Linked DNA regions of Neodiprion lecontei. The protein of the gene in region 1 purifies or fractionates together with the protein of each later gene. This does not show direct contact. Links are inferred from orthologs where the notes say so. Each region holds a gene or a part of one and is shown in the gene's direction. Other genes may lie near its edges.

The links. Proteins that work in one complex are often made in the same cells at the same time.
Region 2: the proteins of probable prefoldin subunit 4 (region 1) and prefoldin subunit 1 purify together in Homo sapiens (affinity purification with mass spectrometry; 5 studies listed by BioGRID and IntAct, counting the BioPlex papers as one, with this or other methods). This does not show direct contact. The link is inferred for Neodiprion lecontei from reciprocal best matches to the Homo sapiens genes PFDN4 and PFDN1.

Annotation. Positions count from the first base shown.
Region 1 is NC_060260.1:21,084,452-21,093,068, reverse strand, and holds probable prefoldin subunit 4, read left to right. Parts: upstream 1-2,073; 5' UTR 2,074-2,210; coding exon 2,211-2,249; intron 2,250-2,335; coding exon 2,336-2,440; intron 2,441-2,780; coding exon 2,781-2,897; intron 2,898-5,294; coding exon 5,295-5,447; 3' UTR 5,448-7,457; downstream 7,458-8,617. UniProt on the Homo sapiens protein: Binds specifically to cytosolic chaperonin (c-CPN) and transfers target proteins to it. Binds to nascent polypeptide chain and promotes folding in an environment in which there are many competing pathways for nonnative proteins.
Region 2 is NC_060261.1:40,149,700-40,152,615, reverse strand, and holds prefoldin subunit 1, read left to right. Parts: upstream 1-1,853; 5' UTR 1,854-1,870; coding exon 1,871-2,251; 3' UTR 2,252-2,416; downstream 2,417-2,916. Other genes in the region: GATOR complex protein WDR24, read right to left, coding at 1-115, 199-412, 540-762, 920-1,036, 1,142-1,238. UniProt on the Homo sapiens protein: Binds specifically to cytosolic chaperonin (c-CPN) and transfers target proteins to it. Binds to nascent polypeptide chain and promotes folding in an environment in which there are many competing pathways for nonnative proteins.

The DNA of each region.
Region 1 (8,617 bases):
CGTTATTCACCTGGAGTACAATAGCGATTGTTTATGAGACATAGTTGCTATTTGCTTGACATTATTAGAATCGCGCTGCTGCGAATATTCTTAGTTGTTTGTGTTATAACTATCATAACAGATTTAGGGTATTTAACAATTTGATAATTCATAGTCTTAGAGCAGGTTTACATGTGTGCTTTCGTATATAATTCTCTTCTGTAATTATTAATTCTTATATTGATATAAATCGGCTTAGAAGCTTCCAGAACGTTTCTCTTATGTTTGTCGGTTGCCTGTTATTGGGCGTTGCCACGTATGCATCTTTGAGTTTATTGCGAGTTGATTTACCTTCAATCGTTTCGTCGGTAAGTTTCCTAATGTGTTCTCTAGATGAAGCTCTGTATGGCTCCACATTGGGGATCTGTATTGCCTTCAAAACGTTGCGCGTGTTGCCTACAACACGGCGTTACGGAGAAGAGTATAGTTCATGCTGAATAATTAGTATTCACGGTTTTGAAGGTTTTGCAGTCTCTAGTTTTATGGATTATTGCAGCAGTGCTATCTTTACATCATAATGGTTATACATTTATCTATGTTTTTACAGTCTTCTATACTCCAGGCTATATGGTATAGCGTAAGTTGCTTATAGTATAGCTCTCAGCTCCGAATGCACAAATGGCATTGTCGAGTGCTATATAATAATTGGATGTAATCGTGTTAGTTAATTATGGTGTTAATATGATAGTGATATATAATAACGTATAATAATATTATAGCTCTTTGTAGTGCGAAGATCTCGTAACTTGGTTTTTAAGCTTTGGTTAGTGAATGTCATAGTTATTTCCATCTAGGGATATTCCAAATAGTTAGACAGTTGTTTTAATTCCTTATGGTTACAAGATTCTCGTACTTCGAGTTTGGTTAGTTGATAAAAGTAACATGCAGTAATAACAGTCGATAAAACATACGGACGTTTCGGTCGGATGTTACAGAAGGACTATAAACAGAGAGAAACCTCTATAAATACGGGTGTAACTCACAGATAGTTGCCTGCCGGCAGGGTCATGCGTGCACGCATGTGACGGTCACATCACAAACTTGCGACAGAATACTACCTGGGTATAAAAAAATTACCGAACAAAATTGTAACCATAATTTCATAACACAAGATTAGAGGGTAGAAAATGTCGTCAATTTACGGTAAAATTACGATATTTTTTCATTAATTTCACTGAGAATTTTAATACTAGTCCGTGTTCGTAAATTGGCTGACAGTACTGAAAATTCCTTAGGACAGAGTCAGAGCTATCCACGAACTTGGAAGCGCAAAGGAGATAAAAGATTGCTGACAGTACCAGTGTTCCTAACCGTCACATAATTATAGTAGATGTCACATAAATATGAACTTCGTACTATATAACATAGAACTTTCATTATGTGACGGAAATCTACTATAATTTAGAAATTTGTATAAAAAGAAGTTTTTTTTTGTAATACAAAAATTGGCGGGACAAAATTCTTTAATACTTTTCGAAAAAAAAAGATTTTTAATACTTTTCAAAAGAAACGTATTCAAATCTTTTCGCGCTAGGCAAAAAATTGTCAGCGCCATTCACCATAATGTGGTTTTTAATTTTAACCACATTATTGCGGAGGGCGCTGACATGCACGGTTCGGGCTCAGGCGCGTTGGTGTTGATTTGAGCGCCCCGTTTCCCGCTTCCCGCCAGTTCCTGCCGTCATTCCTAGTGTGTACAAAAATAATTCAAATAAGTACCTTCTGGTCATTCGTACAATTAAATGTAAGTACGCACGCGTATTGTAATGGATAGGGATAATATACTTATGAAAATAATATTCCGTGATTTTATTGCATTATTAACATTTTCAAAAAAGTACTATAATTTTTTGTTCGGTACTATAATGCTACGGCCCTGGTCACATAGCCCCCCACGGACGGGTTGGGAACACTGGACAGTACTGTCAGTCAATTTTCGAACACGGCCCTAGTGAACACTATATTTCAGGTACATACTTTGATTTGTTGGCGTTCAACCGCGCTCTACGCCACTGCGCTTCTATATGAACCCACCCTAACTATCCTATTCTAGCGGTTCTCCATTTACGGAGCTTGGCAAGGATCAGCGTTCCTAACCTTTATGCAAGATTGTGGTCCACTTGGACATACTTTTGATAACTTTAAAAACTGATTCTTCCCGGCCAAAAAATATGGCAGGTGGTAAAAACTCTCAGGGAGGATTCCAACCGGTTAGTATTAGACTTAGAAATTCCAACATTAGCTCACTCAACGTAGTTCATCCTATTATAACCTGACTTAAATTTTTAATTGCTAGGATTCTGATGTCCACATTACTTACGAGGATCAGCAAAAGATTAACAAATTCGCCAGGCACAACGCAAAGCTAGAAGATTACAAAGATGAATTAAAATCGAAGCAGGTATTTATATTTGTATATGGTTTCTAAACCAACAATAATATACCTGATTTTTGAGTGTTGTTAAAACTACTCATCCAAATGAAGCTTTATGAAGCTTGGCATAGCCAAGTTTGGGATTGGCCAGGAAGCTTTGGTATAAAAAATTCTTACTTTTACCAACTCGACTAACGTTTTAATCCCAAAAGTGAAACCGTAAAAAATATAGGATATTGCCATTGAGTCTACATCATGATAGTTTCCAACGAATATCTATAGGTGTTTGTCTTCGGTGATGAATGTTATGCATTATTTGGTCATGGCAGCATTCGAAAAACTCATCTCTTAAATTTTCGACTTTCAGAATGACATAAAAAATCTTGAAGATGCCTGCGATGAACTCTCCCTCTTTGATGACGATGTGAAAATACCGTACCTCATTGGAGAAGTATTTGTAGATCAGGATTTTGAAAAAACCCAGGTTATCCAACTTTATTATCACTAGTTCTTACAATTTAATTGGCAAATATGGATATACAGGGTGTTGAAAAAAGGTGGATACACCTGGATAGCACGAAAACGACGTAACTTAGAGATAAACTGATGATAGATTTCCGAATCTCGGGCCCAAACACTAATATTACCATGGGATTCCCAGTTTATCTCTAAGTTACTTCGTTTTCAGGCTATCCAGGTGTATCCAGAATTCTTTAGTATCGAAATTGACCCTACGTCACTAGGAAGGGGCTTATGACCCCAGCGATGGTTAATACGTATTCGGACGTAAAATTTCCCGCTGAATCCAAATTCGAACGAAAAAATTGGGTTTTCCATTTGAAATTTCAAAGCTGGGCCTCATAAGGCCCCCCTGGGCCCATCTGGTCCAAAAACTAATATTACCATTGGATTCCCAGGGAAAAATTATTCGGGAATCTATTATCAGTTTATCTCTAAGTTACGTCGTTTTCGTGCTATCCAGGTGTATCCACCTTTTTTAAATACCCTGTATAAAAAACATCAAGTTCAACCCATGTTTGAATATACCTCAGTGAATCTGATTATGTTAAGACTTTCTATTACACATTTTCAAAGTTTTATGAAAATTCTATAAAATTTCCAAACTGGTCCAGAGATAATTTACGTTATTTTGCTGAGATCATTGAATGGCATTGCTCCGATACTTGATATTAACCGTTTCAAATTAATTGTGAATAATTGAAACTTGAATGATCCATCCTTGCTATTATTCTGTTTACAATATGATAATACTTGTTAACTCGTAAGTGCTGGAAATAATTATATATCGAAATAAAATTACAAAATTGCAAAACCCATCCGCTTGCAAAACCTTGGAATGAGAGGACTTGGGTTGAAAACTGCAGCAAGTCGAGGAGTACCTGAGCCTCCAAAAAATCTAAGAGTTGTCACATTGCTCAGACACAGAATTAAAATGCTGAAGTTTGAACCCACTCTAAGTACATTTATGCCAGGTTTTCTCCAGCTGTGCTCCTTTATCATGCACATATTGGTATTTACAATGAACCTTTCAAAGTAGTTGCAGACGTATAATGATGGTTACTGGCCATTCATCCCTTATCCAACATAACCTAACAATAGCTTCTGGGTATATACCCTGCTGGGTGTGGCAGGATAGGTAGTGATTGTTATTACTATTACTATTACTACTATTCTTATCATATTGTTATAATTACAATGTAACTATTTGAACTGCAAGATCAAAATTTCTAGTATTTTCTAATTATCAAGTTGTTTTCTATACCAAATAGAATGAAGGTAAGGTGGATTATAATCGTACCTTTGACTAGGTAATGAAAATTTGTAATATATAATTGTGTGAAGCTGCCTCTAGCAATTAGAGGTGAAGGTAAAATACTCTAACGTTGATTAAAATAAGGCAGTGAAATTCAAGAGTCAATGCTTTACGATTCTCAAAAATAGGTAGCTAGTAGATGTATAGAATCTTATGCCTGAAATTGGACTGCATTATTCTAAGTATAACAAATTTAGTGTTTGCGGTAACTAGTTTCAAATTCATCCTAATTTCATTTGTAATAGATGGAGAGCCAGTGACAAAAAAAATCACGTTTTTTGACCATACATATTTTCTATCCTAATATATTCTTCAAACATAGTTTATACGGAATTTTGAAGTCTGGTTACCTTGTGGTGTAGTCTTTGGCTTGGAAGTGGGCCTAAAACGGGTAAAAAAAAGAGATGCAAGAATGTGAAATGACCAAGGCTGAACTTGTTTTTTTCTAATAGCTAATGATGTTTTATTTACAAAATTAATAATGCTAGACACTTGGGTAAGGACCAAAGTACTGCCTGACTCAAACGGCAACTTGTTGTTGTTAAATGATTCGTTTATTTTCAACTTTCGAGTAGAAATGGCAGTAACTACACTTGTAGAAAATTCAATTTTCCACAACTTTGATTGCAAAAATTTTTCGTCTACAATCGATATTTTCTAACTTGAATCTGAAAAAAGGGAGTCAAATTGGATTTTGTTGTGACATCACGAATAGTGAATTCCACGAATTTACTTGTGAGTAGTAAAACAGGAGGGGGTGATGGGGGTGAAAACTGACACGTAAACAAGCCAAGATGACGAGTACAACAAATTGAGGAAATTGTTACTATAATAGTGGATCCAGAATTAGGCCCACTTTTTGCTGGTAAGCAGGCTGTTGTTCCATCTCCTTCCATCTTACTTCTTGCATTTGAACATCACCACGAATCCGCCATGTATCGACTAGTTTCAAAGAACCATCTTATTATTTGATGGGTCTTCATACTGCCAATATATGTTACATTTATTTATCACAACTAACACGTCTATATGTTTTGTTTGTGTCAGAAATCATTGGAGGAAGCAAAAGCAAAGAAGCAAGCAGAAATTGCAGAGCTGGAAAGTAAATCCTCAGAACTCAAGGTAGTAATGAGCGATTTGAAAGCACAACTCTACGCTAAGTTTGGCACACACATCAACTTGGAAGCGGAAGATGAATAGTTTATATAATGCAATTATAATTAAGGTCTAATTTTTAGTTATTCAAGCAGTTGAAGATATGGTTTCAATTATTTTCATACGTACTGCTTATTAATAACCCTCACCGTTATCATTGTTCTCAGTACTCATCAATTTTTACAATTTCAAAAATAAAAAAATTTCACTGCTGCATAAACAATTGTCACAGTGAAGGAAACTAGGTAATATCAAAATGTAGTTTTTCAGTAATTAGCTCTGTACTGAAATATATTAATTGAACACTATTTCTGGCATATAAACATATAAGTTAATTGTATTCATAAGGTAAAGATACGTAATCTTTATTAAATTCCATTTGTTTTAGAAGTATTAGTTTGGCTATTTATTTGATATTGATTATTCTTTAATAGAAGCTTGTATCTATACGAACAACACAATAAACATCTGCTTACACTATCAACTAGCAGTAAGTATAGCAAGGCCATAATAATAAAATCAAAGTCTTTCTCGAGTACACCAAGTAGTCACATGGTAGACGTACCATGGCAAGTCGGTGAAAGTATCCGTTACTCTAGTGTGTTAGATATGGATCACAAACTATTGCCAGAATTGAAATATTTGAACAAATTTACCTAAGAATCGCTGATTGACATGAACAGTTTTTCGTATGGTTGCTGAACTATAGATTCGATGTCAAGAATAAAATTTCAAATATAATAGCCTGTGAAAAAATTTTCTAATAAGCCCAGATATAACTAGATATGAAATGTCCATATCAGGCCTGATATGAAAATTAGGCAGATCTGAACATAGACGGACAGATCAAACTACATCAGTTTATATATAGCCTGTTATAAAAATTGGCCAGATCTGGTCTTACATGGATCGATTAGATTATATATGGTTATATCTAAGTATTTCTCATACTCATGGAACACAGACATACACCTTCCACAACAATATCACGGAATACAATACACTTAAAACTTCAATTTAGTACAATAAATTATACAGATCTGCGATACATTTATAACTAAAATGTAGAAATACCTGAGAAGTTTTTGGAAACTTCTATATATACTAAATTTGAAATATTTTATCATCTACGAGAAAGGCTGTCATGTTAAGATTGTGAATAACCCGTTAAAAAACAATTTTTCTGTATAACTGCGTTTAAAAAATGGATTTGATTTTTAAAAATCGAAATTATAGAGACTAGAAAAAAATTTCAATTGAATTTTTTGTATTCTTTATTAATTGGAACATGGAAAAACAGTTTCTTTTCAACAAGGATGACTATATGATCTGACATGGACATATTCTAATGGACATATATAATCTGATATTGTTATACATTTCTATATTAGAAAATATTTCACCAAAATATACAAAATCATATGCAGACATATCCGGCTGTATGTATTAAAACTTGATTTTTCATTGATATTCTCTGATATGGACATATATTGAAATATCAGCTCATATATGAATATGACCATATCAGAAGACTTGCTGCCGAGATAAAAAAAGCTATTGTAGCCATATGTAGCCGGATATAGCTGTAAATGCTTAGATTTCATTACCTGATATAGCCTTATGTAACCTGATACGACCATATATAGATTGATATGTCAATAAGGAAATCAAGTTTTAATACATGCAGCCTGATATGGTCAGATATGTTCGCATATGATTATGTATATTCCGGTAAAATATTTTCTGATATAACATTACATATAAATTTACATCACGTCATATTAAGCTATATCAGACTACATATGGGCTTATCAGAAAATTTTGTCATGGGAGTACAAATCGCCAAATGTTGAAGGGTGTCTACGAAACTCCTTACTCGAGGATTTTCAAAGTTGCAAGATTCCGTATCCTATATCAGAAATGGGAAATTCAAAGCGGCAAACTTTATACCTAATCGTAAGTAACACACATTCAACCCATATTATGATTATTGCCGACAGAAAATTAAGTCAACTAATTTGTACCCAATAAATAGCTTGAATTTGTATAAATAAATTAACTTTACGGCACCCCGAGGCACATTGCTAACAGCTACCCATACTCTGTAAATGGGGGCTTGCCATACCAACTCACAAATGTTTCACCCTTTTGCGGATTCCGACGATCCGACCTTACATGAGACTGCATCATGAGGCTTCGGTATTTATTTGGGAAATAACAGATCGAAGATTGGAAATATCATATCGATGTAAAACGGCGTTCGAACTTGCGATCGGAAGTAGCTGCTAATGACAATCGATACACAAGTTTAACTTGTGAAGAATATATTAATTTCAGAATAATATGGTCAAAGACGTCGAAACTAACGTTAAATCGGAAACGTTTTTCCAAACTGGTTATGCATTACAGTGACCAGTGTTATTTCTGTATGTGGAAAAAATTATCTTGAGATCGTGCCCATAAAAGAATGACAAATATCGGTTTTTAATTTTTTTAACAATGACGCACTTTCAGAAAAAATCATAGAAAATTACACAAAACCAGACATTCAAGCTGTCGAAAAGAGAAGGTGGTCACTAGCTAGAAACCACCGGAAATCAGCAATCTAAATGTTCAAGAATTTTTAGACGCTCGAGTTTGCTACTGAAAAACCTGAAAAAAATCCTTGACATGTGTACAGATGTCTGCTAGATTTGTAATTTTCTTCATAATTTTCGGAGTTAAAATGGCGGATTTAACGCAAAAAGACTGAAAATCGCGTTTTTTTACGATAACTTCGTACGAAATGGAGTTAGAAGGCTAAAATTTGGTATGGGTCAATCATTCTCCAATAGAAAACAGAAAGTCACTTGCAGAATCCATTCCGAGCGGGGGCATTTTTGGTACGCGGCTATACCCTCTAGGCCTCTAGACTAAAATACACCTTTTAAACTGTAGCATGTGTCAAGGGTTTGATTATATAGGTATTGACTTTATATTGTTTTTGTAGGTTTGTGTAATAGTCTTTTATTTTATTTCCAGTCCAATTTTATCAGTAAAATAGTGTTTCGTAGAATTTTCTACCTCTCCGCTACCTATGTTTTTAATTCTTTCTTAAACACCACCTTACTCTTCTTACTAATATCTATTAGTATAATATGGTTCCATAATTCAGCTGCTATTTATATTTCTTGTTGTATTTTGGCAGTCTGGATCAACTTGATTGTTACACCTTC
Region 2 (2,916 bases), on another chromosome or scaffold:
CCAAGGCGCAGCTTGCGATGTGATACTTTCTTTGAGGTCGCCATTTTATTCTACCCACAGATGCAATTGTATGGATTGTATATTCACATGTGGGTTTAGCTGATATGTCCCAAACCTGAAGTATACAAATTTTAATCTCTGTTCTTCTATATAAGTACTAAAAAAATCCCTGTAGTATATTCCCATAACCATCTATACCTTAATTGTTTTATCACGTGAGGCAGTAGCTAGCCACGAGGCTTCAGGGTGCCAATCACAAGCAAAAATTGGCCCACTGTGTGCTGTGAAATGCTGGAAGCATCGGTCGGGTTTCCTCAAGTCCCATTGCTGAACATGACCATTTTCCGAAACAGCTGCAAATGTGTATTGTTGATGCGGTGAAAACTGCACATCTCGCACAGATTCTGTGTTGCTATAAGAGTGAACAAATCAATGAATTTACAAGTAAATGAACAAGACACAGATTGACTCTTAACTTCACTGGAGTATAAACCTTTGCAAGAGCAATTTGGATAGTATTTCCATATGGCTCGCTATACCTGTAAAATGTTTTAGTAGCCTCCTTAATTCTGAGATCAAAACATTTCATAGTTCCGTCTTGAGAGCCTGATATTAACCACATAGGCTCAGTCATGTGAAAGCTCACTTTATTCACAGTTCTTTTATGATCAATAAACACGTGTTCCTGCTTTGACCGAGAAGGTCGATTCAGGTTCCATACCACCACAGCACCATTGGTGGCTGCGGTTGCCAATATGTGATCTAAAAAAGACATTTAATCATTCTTTTATAGCATGAATTATGAGGTGTATGCCAATCCAGGATTTTAATTAGAAAATAATACCGATAATTAAGGAAACAGAGGATTTTCCAAACCAAGTATTGCTGCATCACTAAAAATATTTCGTATATTATTTACCATCGATTAAATTCCAAGCAACATCATTGCATGAAAAATTCAGATTAAGATTCTTCCCAACTCTCAGATTGCAGACTTCTTCAAACTTGTCTTCAAGTAGGGCGAATATTTTGAAGACTAAGGGAGAAAATCGATAATAAATCTTTAATAAACCAGTAAATTGTATTGAAAATTAATAAAACAGCTTAGTCGTATGGAAGGATTTGAAAAAGGTTGTCCTACCATTGCGTCCAGCGATCACAACTTGAGTATTATCCTTATTTAGGGCTAAGGCATTTGCCGGTCCCTCCTGCGTAACGAATACCGTTTTTGATGTCATGTTAACAACAGTGAGCTCCAAATTTTATCAACAATTGTCTCGATTTCTTCACGCGGTATCCCCTAATTCAGGTTGGACTATACAACTATTATCAAACGTCAGGGTAATACCGCATTCTGTGAATTACACATTTTACAAACACGTGGTACGCCTGCTAGAAGTAAGATCACGAATTGTTTGATTGATTGTTTTCATACAATGAAATACGCACATCATTCGTCATTGTGACACACAGTATTTATGCGACAATATAAACGTTATAACCATATAGAAGTGATTTATGAATTCTTTCTCCCCGATCTTTATGATTTTACGACGAGCACATTCGCAGTAATTACAGTAGTGTCATTAAACTAAAAATGATTTTTGGCGAGTATAGTGTAATGCATCCTCATTGGTACAATTGACGGGTGGTAAAATGTTTATTTATTATTATTGTTCTTCAGAGAGTGTTTTTTAAAAAAATGGCCGTGTCATCAACGCCCCGTGATCGTAGCATCTATATATGTATTTCGAAGCCGTGATTACAGCATTTGTATAGTCGATCCTGGGTTTTCGTTCTTTGCGGTGTGCACTTTTCAGCGATTCTTGACATAACGTGGAGTTAGTAATTCGCAAGTAAAAACGAAAAAATGGCAAAAGCGCAAGACCAGGAGCTGAAAAAAGCGTTTTCCGAACTACAACAGAAGATAATTGATACGACACAGAAATTAAAGCTCGCAGACGTACAAATTGATTCGTTAAAACGAACAAAGCAGCATGCCGAGCTCACGGTTAAGGAGGTAACCTCACTTCCACCAAACACGAAAACCTACGAGAGTGTGGGTCGAATGTTCTTGCTAGACGACATCGCGAGCGTAAAAGAAGGGCTTGAGAAACGGATGAAAACGGCCGACGAGAAGATCAAAACTCTAGAAAACAATAAAGCGTTCTTGGAGCGTAGCTTAAAGGATAACGCAAATAACGTTAGAGAAATGGTCCAGCAACGACAAAGCAACGAATCCTCTGGTTGATACAGCAGTTTCACATCTTTACTTGCTTTTACTCTTCTGTCGAAGTTGTACCCTTATTCAAGCAATATCGCATCTATCAGTTGTAACTCTAATTTAACATCATTATTATTTGTGTGCTTTCGATAAATGTAATCCATAAAATAAACCTATCATGTTTACATATTACCTTCATTCGTTTTACCTTACGTAGTTACTGGTTATTTAATAATGTAGGGACGTTACTTATTTGTCCTGGTGACAGTTACTGTTGTGCATATCCTTTGTAAGAATGAGTAAGTCACCTCTATGGTGCAATAATTGCTTATCCTATTTAGCCAGACTTCATCTCTCAAATTATACAAATTTAAAATTTCCGAACTTTTTCCTAGTGACCACATGTGAGAATGATCATTAAAATGTTCTTATAATTAATAAGACATGGGGTATAATTGATTTCAGCAAATCATTTTACAATTATCATTAATTTATTCCAGCGACAGGAATGTTACATACAACAGACTGTCTTCCTTACGGCTAATTTTTTTTTTTGTTTTTTCCTTTTTAAATTTAATCCACTTAGTTATCTTAAACTGATTCCGTGAACCTCAACATTTTTTCTTCATTTAAACTACACTTAAAAATCTACATGTGCCAAAACTTGGCGCTTCAACTGATTTATTGTATTT